Linked DNA regions of Canis lupus familiaris. The protein of the gene in region 1 binds, or shares a complex with, the protein of each later gene. Links are inferred from orthologs where the notes say so. Each region holds a gene or a part of one and is shown in the gene's direction. Other genes may lie near its edges.

The links. The genes of interacting proteins can lie anywhere in the genome.
Region 2: the proteins of TLE6 (region 1) and OOEP are in contact, whole or in part, in a cryo-EM structure (PDB 8H94), measured with the Mus musculus proteins. The link is inferred for Canis lupus familiaris from reciprocal best matches to the Homo sapiens genes TLE6 and OOEP. Residues at the interface, in NP_444484.1 of Mus musculus: Trp256, Ser258, Phe304, Thr305, Arg306, His307, Val318, Asn320, Val322, Asn323, Glu332, Ser333, Asn354, Ser355, Arg356, Leu373, Ala374, Ala375, Pro376, Ser377, Leu378; in NP_080756.1 of Mus musculus: Arg32, Pro33, Trp34, Trp35, Pro37, Gln39, Glu40, Glu67, Trp70, Met71, Gln73, Gln94, Pro95.

Annotation. Positions count from the first base shown.
Region 1 is NC_049241.1:56,637,398-56,641,714, reverse strand, and holds the start of TLE6 (transducin-like enhancer protein 6), read left to right. Parts: upstream 1-1,402; 5' UTR 1,403-1,425; intron 1,426-1,480; exon of another isoform or gene 1,481-1,594; intron 1,595-1,632; exon of another isoform or gene 1,633-1,757; intron 1,758-1,849; 5' UTR 1,850-1,934; intron 1,935-2,158; exon of another isoform or gene 2,159-2,188; 5' UTR 2,189-2,216; coding exon 2,217-2,285; intron 2,286-2,967; coding exon 2,968-3,023; intron 3,024-3,406; coding exon 3,407-3,452; intron 3,453-4,317. UniProt on the Homo sapiens protein: Component of the subcortical maternal complex (SCMC), a multiprotein complex that plays a key role in early embryonic development.
Region 2 is NC_049233.1:35,686,919-35,689,985, reverse strand, and holds OOEP (oocyte-expressed protein), read left to right. Parts: upstream 1-1,220; 5' UTR 1,221-1,274; coding exon 1,275-1,464; intron 1,465-1,830; coding exon 1,831-2,010; intron 2,011-2,376; coding exon 2,377-2,456; 3' UTR 2,457-2,515; downstream 2,516-3,067. UniProt on the Homo sapiens protein: Component of the subcortical maternal complex (SCMC), a multiprotein complex that plays a key role in early embryonic development.

The DNA of each region.
Region 1 (4,317 bases):
GCAATTAGCAGGCTGGCCCATAAATAAAATACACTTCAATTAAGGGCCAGTGGAGGGATCATGGGCGAAAACCTTTTTTGCGGCTCACACATGGCAGCCCTCACTTCCCCTCCATACGCCAGCCACAAAACCCAAGTTGTGTGTTTACATTACAACCTCCAGGGGGGACTGTGCATCCCGAGATCTGAACCCCAGGGTGCCCCTACCCCAGACAAAGCACAGAAGAGGGGCCAGCGGAGTGTTCTCGCACTCCCCTGGATCCCAAGCCAGCATACCCACCCGGGCAGGGGCAGGCGGGCGCCCCGTGGCCCGTGCGAGAATGTCTGAGAATCCCATCAGCAGTTACCTGAATTTTGAACACAGCAGGACTTACAGCCACTGAGATTACCACGAGATTAGTGCCAACTCAAACCACATTTGGAGAAAAATGAAATAAAGGGAGGGTGGGGGTGGTGTTGGAAGTTCATTTTTAAAAGAGATGTGAGGGGAGACCTGGGGAGGTGGTGACCTCGGGGTAGACTGCTCAAGGAGGGAGCACGGTCATGACTGTCAGGGGGAGACTAGTCCCCGTGGAGGAGGAAATGGTTAGTGCAAAGGTCCTGGGGTGGGCAGGACCACAGCACACCTCCAGTAAGCATTGCAAACCGGGCCAGAGAACAACTCTAGAATCCCTAGACACCCCCCTACCGCCCTCATCCCTTATCTTTCTATCATCCCAGGCCTGGAATGCCCACCACCACCCCTTCCTACCCTGGCCTTGAAGCTGGAAAAGTTGTACCAGTTTCAAGGCCTCTGCAGCCCCTGCTTTTGGTTCTCAGATCCTGGGCTTGGGGAACAGTTGGGAAAAATTCACGACAAAAATTCAGAGCCCAGGACTGGGTGCTGGATGAAGGGGAGCTGTTTTCCCCATTAAGGGGGCTTGAAGCTTCGCTTGCACTGCCCGTCATTCATATCGAGGAAAATGTTATCAGCCCCTATCCGGGAATTGGGATGAAGGGGAAGGATTCGGGTCCCCTCTCCCAGCACCACCTCTCACCCTAAACCACTCCGGGGCGTCGCCAAAACTGATCAGGCTTTTCACCAAACAATGCAACCTCACACCGCCCAGCCCCTTCCGGGGTTGCGCCCTGTGACCCCAAGCCCCACGCCCTCCTTAAATATCCTCGCCCCCGCCGGGACCCCAAACCGCCCGCGGCTCTGCACGCCGCCCTTCCCCACAGCTGTAGCGCAAGGGTTAAGCCGAGGCGCCGGGAGCGCTGATTGACAGCCGGGCCGGCGGCTGGGGGGAGCCGACCAATCAGCGCGAGCGGCCGCGGCCCACGTGGGCAGGCGGCCTCGCGATTGGCCAGAGCCTGCAGCGGCCGCCCGCGGAGTCCGAGCCCACGTGCAGCGGCTGCTCCTTCATTGATCGTCCTCGTGGTGCAGGTGGCGGCGGGCGGGGCGGGGCCGGGGCGGGCGGGGGCGGGGCCTGGGCGGGCCTGGGCGGGGCCGGGGCGGGGCGGGCCGGGTCAAAGGGCCCCGGGAGGAGGGGAGACGCGGAGGGGCGTTCTCTCCGGGCCTGAACTTGGTTGACCCCCCGCAGTTTCGTCCCGGGGTACTGGGCCTCTATCCTGGCGGGGGAGGGGGGAGTAGGCGGGCGGGCCTCCGGGAGGACCTCCGCGCCCTCGGGCCCGGGGAGGAGGCCCGGACGCCGCTGAGGGCCAGAAGCCAAGCAAAGAAGGGGCTTAGGGCCGGAGGAGTGCCTGGGGTGGAGAGAGGTCTCTTTCCTCCTGTCTGAGAAATCCCTCCTAGTTCACCTGGCCGACTCTTACTCATCCCTCAAAACCCTTTCCCAATGATGTTTACCCAGGCTCTGGGAAGTTGTCTCAACACTGAGGCTGAGTTTTAGCGTCCTTCCCCGGGGTCCCCAGCGGTGACAGCTCCTGGCAGGGAGTGTAAGTGTTTGGCACCGTCAACGTCCACCTCCTGGAATGACGCTCCTATGAGTTGGGGCTGGTGGAGGCAGCAGAGTTTGACAAATGAACAAAGGGTATAGGGCATGCAGTGGGGGGCCGGAAATCAGGGAGGGGGCTTGGGATCCAGGCCTGGGGCCTGCAGGGGAGGCCAAGGGTGGGGTGGGGTCGGTTCTGCCCCTGGCTGCCCGGCCTTCTGCCCTCAGGGACCTGCCATCTCCCCTTGGGAGTTCCAGGCTAAAGTCCTTTGGCTACTGCCCGAAGATGACGTCTTGGGACCGTCTCAGCCGCCAGCAGCACCCTCCAAGGATGAGGAGGCCCCCAGGAACTTTGGTGAGGAGAATATTAACTGCGAGGGAAGGGGGCTCAGCTCAGACCTCACTCTCCTGCTCCTGAGGGAGGGACACGGGCGGGTGGCCAGGCCTTTGGCTGGGGCCGCTGGCCCATCATACCTGCTGACAGGTGCCAGGCCACTTTCTTTTTAAATTGAACCTGCTTCTCATCACGCAGGTGATCAAACACATGCCTACGTCGTCTCTGGTTAATACTTTGGGAACAGAAGCCCCTCCTCCTCCAGAGAGGACCCTTTACAGTAGTTGAGGCCGGGGTGGGCGACCTTTCTCTCTCGAGGGCTCTCCAGAGAGTCTGTATTTGAGACTTTAGGCCAAGAGGCAAAACGGGAGAAACTCCGTGGGGACTTAAGTAACCAGAGAAAGCAAATTCCCTTCAGGTTTGGGTTTTTGCTTTTTACGATTTTATTTATTTGAAAGAGAGCAGAGAGCACAAGTGGGAGGAGGGGCAGAGAGAGAAGCTGACTCCCCGCTGAGCAGGGAGCCCACGTGGGGCTGGATCCCGAGATCACGATGCTCTCCTGACTGAGCCCCCCAGGTGCCCCTCCCTGCAGGTTTTAGGCGGGTCCCAGCCCACCCTCTGGGGGGCTGATTGGAAATGTGGCCTGAGGGTGGGAGAGCGGGAGGCGGGGGTTCATCTATACAGCCTCCTCTGACCTTCCCAGGCTCCTGAACTGAACTACCACAGTGTCCTGGGTCAGCTCCGAGAGCAGTTCCCCAGGTGAGGGTGGCTCTCAGGGGCCCACGTGGAGGGGGAGAGACTCCCACCTGGTCTCTGGGTGGCCCAGCAGCCCTTGGTCCAAATGACGGAACTTGGTAACAAAGAGCCTTATTGGAGCCTGAAGCAAAAGGAAAGAAGCACCATTACCAATCCGGGCCTTCATTTGAATTTTCTGGTTGTCCTTGTGTTGTTTAGCATGAATTTTTTTGCACCGATTATAGGTTTAAAAACATTGCAGGGAAACGGCATCTCTGATGCCGCCTTGGGGTGGCTCCTTGGAGGGGGGTGCGCAGGGGCCAGGCCTGGGTGGGGCAGTTCTGGCTCTAGTTCTGCGGAGGGGTCTTGAGGGCTCTTCTTCGGTTGCTTCCCCCCCCCCCCCACAGGTTATCCCCTCACCTGGCAGCGCAGGTGGACAGCATGTACCACACGGTGAGCCACCCCGGGCAGCCCCCAGGAGCCGGGCTTGGGGACACGGTCTCCTCCACTTGCTTCTGCTTCCTTGGGGCGAGCAAGGTCACCCGTGCAGGCCAGCTTCTCCAGGAGCGTTTTTCCTCATGTGTGCACACCTCGCTGCCAAAGTTAGACATTCCATATTTAAAGGAAGGGTTTCTTTGGCCACTCATCATTGAGGGATAGGTAACGGGAGCCCCTGCTCATGAGGAGTATATGCGCTGGTGTGGTGCTGGTCTTCTAGAACCTTCCGCAACGATGGGAATGTTCTATACCAACAGTACCCAATATGACACCCACTGGCTGCTTGTGGCTGTTGAGAACTTGTAAAGACTGACTTTTTTTTTTTTTAAGATTTTACTTATTTATTCGAGAAAGAGCAAGGGAAAGAGAGCACAAGCAGAGGTGAGAGGGAGAAGCCAGACCCTGAGATCATGACCTGAGCCGAAGGCAGATGCTTAACTGACTAAGCTCCCCAGGTGCCCCAGGAACTGAATTTTTAACTTGATTAAATTTAAATAGCCACACTTGACTAGTGGCTAGCTCCTTGGACAGGGCACCCCCAGGGCGAGGAGAGAGATAAGAAAGCAGATCACAAATCGTAACCACTATAAAGGAAACAGAAGATAATGGGATGGAGTGATACAGATACTGAGCTAAGCTAGTCAGGAAGGGCTTCTTGGAAGAAGTGGTGTTCACAGGGAGATGTGGAAGATAAGGAGGTCCTGCCATCCCAGAGAGAGTGGGGAAGGGGATTCCGAGCAGAGGCGCACAGCCTGTGCAAAGGCCCTGGGGCAGGACTGGCCTTGGTCTGTTGGAGGAATGGGCAAGGAGGCCAGTGTGG
Region 2 (3,067 bases), on another chromosome or scaffold:
AGGGAAAGGAAAAATGCTTTATGTGGTGTATATTTTAAAGAAGAGAGAGGTGAGGCAAAGGTGGGAAAATGTTAGCTTCTTGTCAAATGGGGATGGTGGTGGGGATTGTTACATACGTATTTGTTATATAACTTTTTGAATGTGTGAAATCTGTCATAATTTAAATTTTTGACTAAAATTAAGAACACTGAGGGGCCCCTGGGTGGCTCAGTTGGTTAAGCGTCTGTCTTCAGCTCAGGTCACGGTTCCAGGGTCGTGGGATGGAGCCCCCAGCAGGCTCCCTGCTCAGTGGGGAGTCGGCTTCTCCCTTTCTCTTCTCCTCCCCCCTGCTCATGGTCTCTCTCTCTCTCACTTGCTCTCTATCTCAAATAAATAAAATATTTTTTTTAATTTTTTTTTATTTTATTTATTTATGATAGTCACGGAGAGAGAGAGAGAGAGAGAGGCAGAGACATAGGCAGAGAGAAGCAGGCTCCATGCACCGGGAGCCCGATGTGGGATTCGATCCCGGGTCTCCAGGATCGCGCCCTGGGCCAAAGGCAGGCGCCAAACCGCTGCGCCACCCAGGGATCCCAAATAAAATATTTTAAAAAATAAATAAAATTAAAAATACTGGGCAGAAATGTACATCAACACTAGCTGATTTAGGATGTTGAAGACAACGGAATCGGTCTATAGTTCCTACATGTTCCACCTCTGACATTTCTATTTCAAAACACGACACGTTTGCTTGAATGATTTTGAAGTAGTAACCAAACACATTGTTGGGAGACAACAGGGAGGAGAAGGGAGAAAATGTAGACCCGACGAGCCTGCCCTCCGCCTGATCCACCTGCCCACCCACCTCTGGAAGGTGAAGCAGAAGCCGTAAGGTAGGCACGAAAAGTGATTCCGGGTCACGAGGCCTCCGAGTCAAGCCGCGCTGTCAATCAGCTCTGCGCTGGGCAGGGCTCTTTGAGGCCAGGTGATGTCTCACTCACCTACCTGGAGACGACCCCAGGTAGCCTCTGAGGGACGGCTCAAGCAAGCTCACACGCACGCAGGTTCCAGAACCAGGAGGAAGCCCCGGGGCGGGGGTGGGGGCTGGCTCCCCGGCGCCCCGCCCGCCACTGCCGCGGAAGCGAACGGGGTTCCGTTCACCCGGAACCGCCCGCGGGGCCACAGGAAGAGGCGGGGCTGGCCGGAAACCGTAAAAGGGGGCACAGCTTTCGTGCCTCCCTGGTGTTCCGGCGGCGCTGTCTGGACCCTTCTCTTCCCGGGCTGCCGGACCTAGCATGGTCGACGACGCGGGTGCTGCTGAAGTTTTGGGGGACGAATGGAGGCCCGCCTGGTCCCTGGACAGGCTGCTCCGGGCACCACTTCCACCACCGCGGATTCGCACCCGGCCTTGGTGGTTTCCAGTGCAGGAGCTGAGAGACCCACTGGTGTTTTACCTGGAGGCGTGGCTGGCTGACGCCATCTTCGGTGAGAGACCCCGCGGAGCAACTCTACGGTCTCTGCCGGATTTGCAGGCCACGTTAGACTCCACGATGCCGACCTTCCTTCCCCGGCCAACATTCCCTTCAAACCTAGCTCCTACTCACCTTCGACCATGTTTCTTTTTTTTAAGGATTTTATTTATTTATTCATGAGACACACACACACACACACACACACACACACACACACAGAGGCAGAGGGAGAAGCAGGCTCCATGCAGGGAGCCCGACGTGGGACTCGATCCCCGGATCGAGGATCACGCCCTGGGCCAAAGGCAGGCGCCAAACCGCTGAGCCACCCGGGCTGCCCCCCGACCATGTTTCCCTTCAGAGTCTCTCTTTTCCTGTTTAGGCCCAGACCGAGCCATAATTCCAGAAATAGAGTGGATGAGCCAAGTCCTGCTGACGGTGGACGTAGTTAACTCTGGAGACTTAGTTGAAATCAGTATCTTCGGATGGCCCCGTGTACAAAATCGGGTGAAGAGCGTGCTCCTGAGCCTGGCATCTTGGCACCGGAAACATCGTGCCAGAGGTGAGGGTCTCTAAAAGCCTGCATGTGGAGGGAGCCCCCGGTGAACCACCTGGCGGTACCAGGCTTTCTTCCAACCTTTATTACTTAACAAAACTTTTTGCAGTTTCCTAACTGCAGTGTTCTATATGCAACCCCTGGGCATCCCTTTGTAGAGAGGAGTCCAAGTAGGACCTTGGGAAAGTAAACGGAAATTGAATACATTCAGGCCTGTCGTCACTGCCCATGCCCCCTCAGCTTGGTTTCACCACTATTTCCAGATTGTTCAGAGCCCCCACCTGAGAAGTGATGCTGCTAGCATCTTCCCTCCTCCCCTACTCCCCTCAGTGATGGAGTAGTTTGGAACAGAAAGCATTTTTCCTTATCCAGCTGAGAAGATGAAACAACTTGAGGAGTTCTTGAAGACTGGTGGGACAGGTCCCCAAACTCCTGAGCATCCTGTTGCATAAGTATTTTCAGGAGCATTGTGAGAAGCAGCCCTACTTCTACTAAAGTTCAAGAGAAGCAAGTATCCATAAGTCTCTGCATTCTTTTTTTTTTTCCTGTGTCTTGATGGGTAATGCTTTGATTATTTTGGTGCAAAAGTCTGTTTGTAGTGTCATTCTAGTAAAGAAGTGAATTTCCTTTTTGTCCAAGGGCATAAAGATCTTTACTCACTTAAAATTAAGCAAAAGATTGATTCTGTTCCTTCATGTCTTGATGTGAGGGGTGGGTAAAAGGCTGATAGGTAGTGGTTTTATTTTTGTCTTCTCTTCTACCATTTTTATAAAAAAGATTTTATTTATTTATTCATGAGAGACACACAGAGATACATATAGGCAGAGGGAGAAGCAGGCCCCCTGCACAGAGCCCAGTGTGGGACTGGATCCCAGGACCCCGGGCTCACTGCCTGAGCCAAAGGCAGACGCTCAACCACTGAGCCACCCAGGCATCCGTGCTTCTACCATTTTGAATCTGGTAACCCATATATGATTTTTTTTTTTTTTTTTTTTTTTTAACCCATATATGATTTTATGGCCAGAGTCAGGCCCTCAAGCACAGGCCCCTGAACTTGCATTTC